Linked DNA regions of Arabidopsis thaliana. The protein of the gene in region 1 interacts with the protein of each later gene in a pairwise test. Each region holds a gene or a part of one and is shown in the gene's direction. Other genes may lie near its edges. The genes, in order: AT2G04620 and AT3G12100.

Region 1 (5,244 bases):
ACTTGCGTAAAAGTTTAAGCGTTTGTTTTACCATCTCCGCATCAGAGATATTCTCTTAACAATGTGAGTTATATTCACAAAGAGACTTCAAGTCTTGAAGTTTTAGTAATAACTAATTATAACTTGCTTCTAATAACACATTCATATAAGAGTTGCTTTATACAACTTTTAGATCTTTAGTAGTCAAAGATTGAACATAATCTTCTGGATATGTCACGTATTATCCATTTATTACTTCTCCTCCTCGAGATGATGAAACTTCAAGTTCATCCATCTCGTATTGAATTCCACTCTAGAATCATAATGTATTTTATATCTCATCATATTAACTTTAAAATTTGGAGAACTATACCGCATCGATGATTTTAATTTTGTATTCCCATAGAAAACAATGTATATGCTCTTCTAGAGTCTTTTAATAAGATTTTATACTACTTGATATACTAGATTATTTCATCGTTAAAAGTTAGAAATTTTACTTATTTTTTACTATATTTATTTTCTCAACTTCTGGTGATAATTTAAGTTCTTGAAAAAACTTTGACCATTAAAATTATGATATCTTCTTAAGATACATTAAACTAGTCATTCATGAAAATTTCTATAAGTGATTATACCTTTAAATTAAGTTATTTATAAATCAATTTATTTCATAAAATAATCAAGTATTATATACCAATACAATTTTAATGCAATATTGTAAAACCAATCAGAATAAAACTATTTTGTGCAAAATCTGGATTTTACATATATCTTGACAAAACTTTTATTTAGGATAATATGAATTTGTGCAAAATTTGGGTAAAATGATTTCGTGCAAAATTAGGGCAAAACCATGAACAGTTTTTTTTCTCTTTTAAAAAATTAATACAAATCTTTTAAACAAATTTTTCGTGCAAATTTAGGGTAAACAATATTCATAATCAACTCTATTAACGTAAAACTAATAATGCATCAACTATGAAATTTTAATTTTCAAAGAAGTATTAATCTTCAAAATCCTTTTCAATTAAATATTCTCAACAAGCAAAAAAAAATGGAGAGAACATCAACGAAGTTCGCTTTTGTTGCCTTCTTTGTTGTTACATTCGGTAAAATTTTATTTCATGTGTGAATAAAATTAAAAATCTCTACATGCAAATTTTATGTTTATAACAACAAGTTAGTTTGGTTTTGTAGTGATGTGCATCGTAACTACACGAAATGTTGAAGCAAAACGTGTATTATCCGAAGAAATGCCACAAATTGCTTTGCATCATGAAGCTTTGCAGCAAAATGCGAATCGATGGGGTCTTGGGTGCAAAAAAGGATGTCATTTGATATGTTATGCTCCTGATCCAACTTTTCCTATATGTCGTTGTATATGCTAGTTTTTATACATCCCCTCGTTTAATTTAGTCAAATAAATAAGATATGTTTTCATTAATAAAAAAAAATATTTATACAACCACATGAATTAAATTGGATTTGATAATAAACATATGGGGATTTCTAGCCTTCAAGCAGCAAAAATCTATATAGTTGAACCGGCATCGTTTCAAATTTATAAATCGGTGAAAATTTTATTAAGTTCAGAAACTTATTTTAGGTTCAGTTTAAAAAAGCGTTAGATGGTAAGCAGGACGGTGATTTAGCGCCTAAAACGTTTAATCATAGTCTAAACGATTTTAGATGGTTTAAGCGTTTACAACATAAGACATTATAAATATAAAATTTTAAATAAAAAAATATATAAAAGTATCTGCTAAAAAAATAAAAATATTAAATAGTAAACAAAAATTAGACAAAAATATATTTAATTAATTCATATTAAACAATATATATTAAGATAAAACTTATTAGTTAAATTTTGGAGTTGGAAATTAAAAAAATATATTGAAAAGAAATTTATATGAATTTAGGCGGACAAAACGATTATATAGATGTCATAATATAGATGGGATTTAGACGACCGCCTAGACCACTTTAGTAACCGCTTTTGCAAAATTGATTTTTGATTTAAGAATATTACTCGGTTCCGGTTTAATTCGGTTAAACCAACAAATTTGGAATTCAAAGTAAACAGCTCACAAAATCACAAAAATCATGTCTTGACGAAAATTTCCTCCGGCGACTCATCGGGAAAAATCTCAAAAGCTTCCGCATCAACAACAATGGTGGATCATCATCATCATCATCATCATCAACATCGACCTAATCGTCTTTCAGTACCACAACCAACAATCGGAAGAACATACCCATCATTCCCTTACACTCCAACTCCAACCCCTTCCAAAACCCGTCTCTCTTCTTCTTCTTCCTACAGATCGATCCATGGAAGCAAATCATCACTTTCATTTCTCTTTCTCATTCTCTTCTCTCTTAGATCTCTTTACTCTCTCTTACCTTTCCTTCGTTCTTCACCTTCTTTCTCTCTTTTCCCTTTCTCCTTCCTCGTCTCTCTTCTCTCTTTCCTCTTCTCACTTTCTTTCACTATCATCTCTTCCTTTTCACCTTCAAAGAAAGACCCTTTTCTTCTCCGTCTTCAAAATCGTTCCTTTTCCTCAATTTCATCTCTTTCTTCCTCTCAAATCAAACTCTTACTCGCTAAATCATTCCTTCTTGCTTTCGTCTTTCTTCTCCGTTTTCAAGCTCTTCGTTACTGTGGTGCTGCTGCTATGATCTTAGCTGAACTCTCTGGCACAGTTTCAGCCAGAGTCTTGTTTAGTGATACTGGTGGAATTGGAGTTAGATCATCTAAGGTTCGTGGGTTTTGCGTTTTGTTTGCTGGGTTGTTGTTGTTATCAATCAGCTGGGATCGTGTTGATTGTTTCCCGTTTTCATCATCTGTTGAAAGTTGGGGTTTTTGGATTTACCCTAAAGAGAATTGCTTGAGGATTTGGCCTCTGTTGCTTCCGTTTCTATCTGGTTTCTTAGGTTGTTATGAGAAAGTTTCTGTGAATTGGAATGAGATCAAACAGTTAGATCAGAAACGAGTTCGATTACTGTCTTTGTTTCTAACCACTGTGTTGTTGTTCCCACTTGCTATTTGGAGTTTCTTCTTCTCTGGTAGTGGTGATGATAGTGTCTCTTTTGGGAATTTAGGTTGGCCTTTAGCTAACACTGTTGTATTTGGAGTGTTGTTGAGTGAGAATTATAATGATGATAAGTTTTCAAGCTCGAAGAAGAAGGACTCAGAGAGGGAGTTTCTTGTAACGTTTCTATGTACTATAGTATTGGAACTCTTCTATTTTCCTGAGCTATCTCTTTGGGGATTGTTGCTTTGTGGTTTGTTGCTTTACATTGCTGTTAGAGAGTTGGAGTCTGTGTATTCAGATTATCAAGAGATTGGTATGGAATCGCCTGAGTCGTTTTCCACTATGTTTATGAAGCCTATCCGTCACATTTTGAGCGAGAAGAAATCGAGGAAGATTGCGTTGTTTCTTTTGATTAATACGGCGTATATGGTGGTTGAGTTTGTGGCTGGTTTTATGAGTAACAGTCTTGGATTGATCTCAGACGCTTGTCATATGTTGTTTGATTGTGCTGCTTTGGCAATTGGGCTGTATGCGTCTTATATCTCTCGTCTTCCTGCAAACCATCAGTATAACTATGGCCGAGGTAGATTTGAAGTGCTTTCTGGTTATGTTAACGCGGTGTTCCTTGTTCTTGTTGGGGCTCTGATTGTGCTTGAGTCGATTGAGAGAATCTTGGATCCTCAGGAGATTTCTACAAATAGTCTTTTGGTTGTTTCGGTTGGTGGGCTTCTCGTGAATATCGTCGGGTTAATCTTTTTCCACGAGGAACATCATCATGCTCATGGTGGATCTGGTTGCACACATTCTCACTCACACCAATCCCATAGCCATAAAAATGAGGAGCATCATCAGCATTCAGATAGCCATAAACATGAGGAACATCATCAGCATTCAGATAGCCATAAACATGAGGAACATCATGAGCATGACCATCATCATCATTCCCATAGCCATAAACACGAGGAGTGCAACCACAACCACGACCATGAGCATCAATCCCATAGCCATAATCACGAGGAGTGCAACCACAACCACGACCATCATTCTGATCACCAACCTGAAAAAAGCGAAAAGAAGGAGCATCGCCACATTGATCACAATATGGAAGGAATCTTTCTTCATGTTTTAGCAGACACAATGGGGAGTGTTGGAGTTGTGATATCGACACTCTTGATTAAATACAAGGGCTGGTTAGTTGCAGATCCAGCCAGCTCAATCTTTATCTCCATCCTCATCATCGCTTCAGTCATTCCGTTGCTACGAAACTCTGCGGAGATTCTACTGCAAAGAGTCCCTAGGGCTCACAGGCAAGACCTGAAAGAAGCTATGAGGAACATACTTAAGACTAAAGGTGTTTGCAGTATCCAGAGGCTGCATGTATGGAGTTTCACCAACTCAGACGTCGTGGCTACTCTCCATCTCCTTGTATCTGCAGATTCAGACAAGACGGATACTAAGTTACAAGTGTCACGTTTGTTAGAAGATGCAGGAGTAAAGGATTGGACATTGCAGGTGGAATCTGTTAACTCATAGCAATTGACATGGAAGACACATTAATTGTGCTTCTTGATCATTACTATCTTAGAGACTGAAACAAAATTTTCAGTTTTGTGTTATGAAAAGGAACTTATTATAAAGTTGTATGATTTACAAAACAATACATTTCTTAAACAGAGAATCCAAAATAGAAATACATTATTGATATTGACATTACATCGGTGTTATCCCCCGATGATATCCCAACCTACAAGTCAGGTTCCCTTAGTGAAAGTAAAAAAAACCAACAAAAACTAACTAATTATCTCATTTATATATTCAAAACACTCACCATGAGACCTTCTTTCACTGCCAACTCTCTAGCCATGTTTACAGAATCCTCACTACTAACCTGTTTAGCTCGCACGTATTCTCAAAAGTCAAAACATAAGCTTTTAAGTTAATAGAATATTATGAAAAAAATGGAAGGTCTAGTAGCCTTATACATTACCTCAACAACTTTGTCCATAACATCCATATCCAAAATATCCGGTTTAAATCCAACCCCATTGCCCGTGATCTCATGTGGGCCTAACTCAAAGTTCAAAACTCTAACTTTAGCACCGGCAAAAAACTTGGATCTTACACTGATTTAGACCATGATGAATCAAAAGAGGATAAAAATATTAAAGATTCAAAATTTTTGAAGACATATGGATGTCAGAGTACAAGGCGATTCTTTGACGTGGCA
Region 2 (5,302 bases), on another chromosome or scaffold:
TCGTAGTCAAGTGCTATGTAAGCAAGTTTCTCTTTCACATCCCTTACGATTTCACGCTCTGCTGAGGTAGTGAATGAGTAACCACGCTCGGTTAAGATCTTCATGAGGTAATCAGTAAGGTCACGGCCTGCAAGGTCCAAACGCAGAATAGCATGTGGAAGAGCATATCCTTCATAAATTGGAACAGTGTGACTCACACCATCTCCAGAGTCCAACACAATACCTGGAAACACACAAGACAATGGACAATGGTACCACATCAACAAAGCCAAGAAAGGGTACTTTCTTAATCTGAAGCTAAGAAGAACTTGGAAGTTTGTTCAATGCAATGGGTAGTAGTGATTAAAAAAATGGTGTAGGTGTTGAAGATCTTATTACCAGTAGTACGACCACTAGCGTAGAGGGAAAGAACAGCTTGGATAGCGACATACATGGCAGGAGTGTTGAAAGTTTCAAACATAATCTGAGTCATTTTCTCACGATTGGCCTTGGGGTTGAGAGGAGCCTCAGTGAGAAGAACAGGGTGTTCTTCAGGTGCAACACGGAGCTCATTGTAGAAAGTGTGATGCCAAATCTTCTCCATATCATCCCAGTTGCTAACAATACCATGCTCAATAGGATATTTCAATGTCAAAATACCTCTCTTAGACTGAGCCTCATCACCAACGTAAGCATCTTTTTGTCCCATACCAACCATGACACCAGTGTGTCGAGGACGACCAACGATGCTAGGGAATACAGCTCTTGGTGCATCATCTCCAGCAAATCCAGCCTAAGGAATTGGAAACACATATGAATGAACCAGACAAAACAGCATTGTATCCAAAAATAATAAAAGAAAAAGTTATCAGATTTATATCCACAAAGGTCATGTAAAGATGTACCTTAACCATTCCGGTTCCATTGTCACAGACGAGAGGCTGAATGTCTTCACCATCTGCCATTTTCTATATCCTGTCAAAATTGATATAAAAAATATTAGCATAATTGAACCCTTTATTTTGCAAGAAACAGAGGAATCTTAAGATCTACCAAAGAGAATTAAATTGAAAAAGCTTCATAAACGCATACTAATGAAGAATCAATGACGATGGAACGTTATGGAAATGTGATTACCTTAGAAGTTAGAGAGGGGATCTCTGAGGAAACGAGGAGGGTGGTGGTGTGGTACGGGTGTGTAGTTTTTGAGAGAGAAACGGAGCGAATGAAGAAGAGAATGTGAGCCGGAGAATTGAAGTTTAAAAAAGGAAGGAATAGGCCCGTAATAAATATTGATGGAGAAGATCTCAGCCGTTGATTTCTGAATATCACTTTGAACGAAGGAGGACCCCACGACCAGTCACGTTGTTGGTGGAAACAGCTGTCTTATTTAGCTTTCTAAAGAGAGTAACTGACATTTAATTATTTATTTATTACTAATTAAATCATTTCGAAAATTTGGTAACGTAACTGTAAATCTTCTCTCTCTCTTTTACTCTGTAAAGTAATTTAATGGGCTGGATAAAGTTCCTTAATGGGGACATCTACCTATAACAACCATATTTAATGGGCTGTATAATGTTTGTTGCATTTCATATATACATACACACTAACCAACCCTTTTTAACAATTGTTTTTTTCTTGTGCGGTCAATGCTTCTTGACTCTTTTGTATTCTATGGGCTTCTAAAATTATATATGGGCTTAGAACAGTGGCCCATTGACTTTACTGTATAAGCAGAGTTTCTTTGTACGACTGACTGTTGATTTTAGTATTTGCCGAAGTTGGAACTTTAAGATCAAAGAAGAAAATGGAGAGATCCATTTCCTTTAATCCTCGAGGCGATAACGAGCTCCCTGATGATCGGAGCAGCGATGTCGGATATGCTGCTAATGATCGGAGGCTTGCTTATTCTCGCTCGTTTCAGCAATCTCACGGTCCACGAACGCCGGCGGTCACGGAAGCGGCTAAGCCTTTTCTCGATAGGACGGTCTCGAGCATCGATATGCCGCCGGATATTTACTCCGTTGATGGAAGTGATGTGTTTTTCGGGGAAGGGAAAGATGTAGACATGGCAAAAGTGTCTGTTTTGGAAATGGTTTGGGAGGTTTTTGGAGTAGTGACAAGTGGAAATCGGCAGATGAAGAGACTGTTTCTGCTAATTGCGCTTAATGTGTTGTATTCTACAACAGAGCTCTCTATTGGTATCTTCACTGGTCGTGTAGGTACGATTTGGTTTCAGTTCTCTTTTTGTTTTAGGATTGAATCTCTGAATTGTTGATATTCTTTCTTTGAATTGTTTTGTGGACTCTTACAGGTTTGGTCTCTGATGCATTCCATTTGACATTTGGTTGTGGTCTCTTGACATTTTCTTTATTTGCAATGGCAACTTCAAGGAAGAAGCCTGATCATGCTTACTCATACGGGTGAGTTACAAGTAATTTGATTGGCTCAGTTGGTTAATCCATTTTATGATCTATTTTTCTCCCGAGACTGTAATGTGATTATGCTCAAGTGGTTGTAATTTAGGCATCCTTGTCTTCTCTTTTTTTTGGGTTCCCAGGTACAAAAGACTTGAAGTTTTATCTGCTTTCACTAATGCTGTAAGTATGTTCTTAACGTGTTTTGGATGTCATTTCCAGCTTTAGTGTAGATGGCTTGACTCAGTGTTAAAACTCTTTCCTTTACTGTTGCTGATAGAATAGAGTATTTTACAGCTCGTTAAAAAGATTTGGACTTCCATACAATCTATCTTTTCGTTTTGCCTTTCATTGTCTCTGTAGTTTATCTTTTTGGTTAATACTTTGATTTGTTTAATATTTGACATATGTGTAGACAGCTGTTCCTTATGTTCATGTCATTCTCCTTAGCTGTGGAAGCTCTTCATGCATTTATACAAGATGAATCAGAGCATAAGTAAGTTGATATTTTCACAAATGACATGCCTAGGAGTTTCTATATATATCTCTAGCACTTACTAAGTTTACAGTACTTGTTCCCTCTTGTTCCTTTCAGTAGTGTGATTTACTGAGATTTCCTTTATGTAGGCATTATTTGATTGTATCAGCGGTAACAAATCTGCTGGTGAACCTACTAGGTGTTTGGTTTTTCCGGAATTATGCTCGTGTCAATATTGGTATGTTTTTCTCTGCATTTTAAGTTCTGTTTAGACTTGTATGAATTGATGCTCATACGCTGCTTTATATTTTGATATAGCCTTTGTTGGTGGCTTTGGTATTCATTTGTAGAAATTGGCCACCCTTGTCAGTTTTCGCTTTAAAGCCAAAGAAGTAAGGGTGTTTGGTTAAGATAGAATCAGTACGAAGATTAGTTGAAAGAGAGAGTCAGCATAATTGTAACTGATCTGTCAAACGACTATTCGTTGCTTCTTGAAATTATCTGTCCCTTCTTTACATATCTAAAAACCACATGTTATCTTGAATTTTTTTCTTATATTCATAATATGCAATATGCTGCAGCCTACAGAAAAGCAGAAGATATGAATTATCACTCCGTTTGCTTGCACGTCATATCAGATTCCATCCGCAGGTGTTAATCCTCTCTGCCTTTATAAATTTCAAGCAGAATCGGAGAAAGCTATATAGAAAAGAAAATGCTTCCTTTTGCATCAAACTTATATACAGTCAACATGAAGTTTTCTTTGCTGCTGTCTTTTCAGTGCAGGTTTGATACTGGCATCTTGGCTCCTCTCGCTCGGGTAATACTCGCTTTCTTTGAAGGAGCTAAATGAATAAAAGTGTCTTCTTGCTTGACTACATTTTCCTTTTGCTCCTTATGCCTTGGCTTTTTCAGGGTTGAAAATGCAGAGGTCCTATGTTTAGGATTGGTATCGGTCACAGTGTTTATGCTTGTTATGCCACTCTTCAAAGCCACTGGTGGTGTCTTGCTTCAGATGGCACCCCCAAACATTCCTTCTTCTGCTTTAAGCAAATGCTTGCGACAGGTTCGCTCATAAATCGTTCCTCGAATGTGTACATATTTCCCATTGTTGATCAAACCAGGCTTCTCTTCAGCTCTCTCTCTCTGTACAGATTACTTCTCGAGAAGATGTAACGGAGGTTTTACAGGCACGTTTCTGGGAGGTTGTGCCTGGTCACACTGTTGGCTCACTCAGACTCCAGGTACTCACTTTTCTCCTTTTTTTTATATCGGTTAAAACATGAGCTCACACTAGAAATGGAAATGACTGGGTTTGTTATTTTGTTTATCGGCGTTAGGTGAAGAGCGGAATAGATGAAAGACCATTACTGCAATATGTATATGATGTATACCATGATTTGGGTGTACAAGACTTGACCCTGCAAACTGATTACACCTAAGCTGCATCTGCCTCTTCTTTGTTTTTAAATGCTGATTTGAAGATTTTTGGATGTATACTAGAGATCATGGTTCTTTAGGAATATAAATATTGTGAATTTTCAAGTTGTGACTTTGTGATATTGTTTTGTTTGTTTTTCATTTATGTGAATTTTCAACCACACAAAGACCACAAACCTTTGTATCTTCAAGCTTGTGGATATTTTGGCTCATAATGATTGGCGAATTAAAACATATATCATTTGCTAAATGTGAAAGTAAACACACAAAAATTCAATATGAGCTGAGACAAGATTTTAGCATTCCTTCTCGTTTATTTATACGATAAAAAAGGAAGTGGGGGAATCGGAGATCACATCAAGCTATATCTTAAAAACCTAATATTCCGAGGAATGGGCCACTAAAAGCATCTTAGAAAGAAAATTCATCGATTACGAAATCATCTCCCGTCCATGTCTATATATTATTCTTTGCTTACTCCTATGCTTCATTGAACATAGCACATTTATTTTATTCCACTTGTGATCATCCATTATATAAACCATGATTGCAGTTTTTGGACTAAAAGCTAGAAAAAGTTGTATTCTTTATGGTGTAATGTCTTAAGAACATATTTTAATGAAGGCACTACTTGATTTCTCTTGGTTGTGGTCTGCTCTGTACCAACTCCAACGACAAAAACGTATAATATAGAATAATAAACAAGAAACAATTGTTCAAAAAGACACTTTTATTTGAAAATTATACGGTTTTAATGTTATTGTTTAATTGATTCAACTCAAGAGAGAGAGGACCAAAAGAATATGATCATGAATCATCAAACCATTAACTCTTAACCTTTCCCCTTAAAAAATTCCCAATTGATAAGAGAGAATCAAAAGCCAAAAGTAGAGTTAACCAATATTATATCTAGAAAAAGAAGATTGTAAGATAAAGCTGATGAAATTCACATTGCAAGAAGAGAATCTGCTTACAAAAGAAAGAA

The links.
Region 2: the proteins of AT2G04620 (region 1) and AT3G12100 come close enough for resonance energy transfer, tested with the Arabidopsis thaliana proteins (one study listed by BioGRID).

What each region holds. Positions count from the first base shown.
Region 1 is NC_003071.7:1,609,812-1,615,055, reverse strand, and holds AT2G04620 (zinc transporter-like protein), read left to right. Parts: upstream 1-2,095; 5' UTR 2,096-2,153; coding exon 2,154-4,550; downstream 4,551-5,244. Other genes in the region: AT2G04622 (uncharacterized protein), read left to right, coding at 1,037-1,091, 1,180-1,370; AT2G04621 (uncharacterized protein), read right to left, coding at 3,909-4,074, 4,357-4,394. UniProt on the Arabidopsis thaliana protein: Involved in sequestration of excess metal in the cytoplasm into vacuoles to maintain metal homeostasis.
Region 2 is NC_003074.8:3,853,758-3,859,059, reverse strand, and holds AT3G12100 (Cation efflux family protein), read left to right. Parts: upstream 1-1,740; 5' UTR 1,741-1,789; coding exon 1,790-2,204; intron 2,205-2,296; coding exon 2,297-2,405; intron 2,406-2,542; coding exon 2,543-2,582; intron 2,583-2,818; coding exon 2,819-2,895; intron 2,896-3,026; coding exon 3,027-3,115; intron 3,116-3,458; coding exon 3,459-3,528; coding exon of another isoform or gene 3,529-3,535; exon of another isoform or gene 3,536-3,580; intron 3,581-3,658; coding exon 3,659-3,697; intron 3,698-3,792; coding exon 3,793-3,943; intron 3,944-4,031; coding exon 4,032-4,121; intron 4,122-4,217; coding exon 4,218-4,319; 3' UTR 4,320-4,573; downstream 4,574-5,302. Other genes in the region: ACT11 (actin-11), read right to left, coding at 1-223, 379-772, 885-944. UniProt on the Arabidopsis thaliana protein: Involved in sequestration of excess metal in the cytoplasm into vacuoles to maintain metal homeostasis.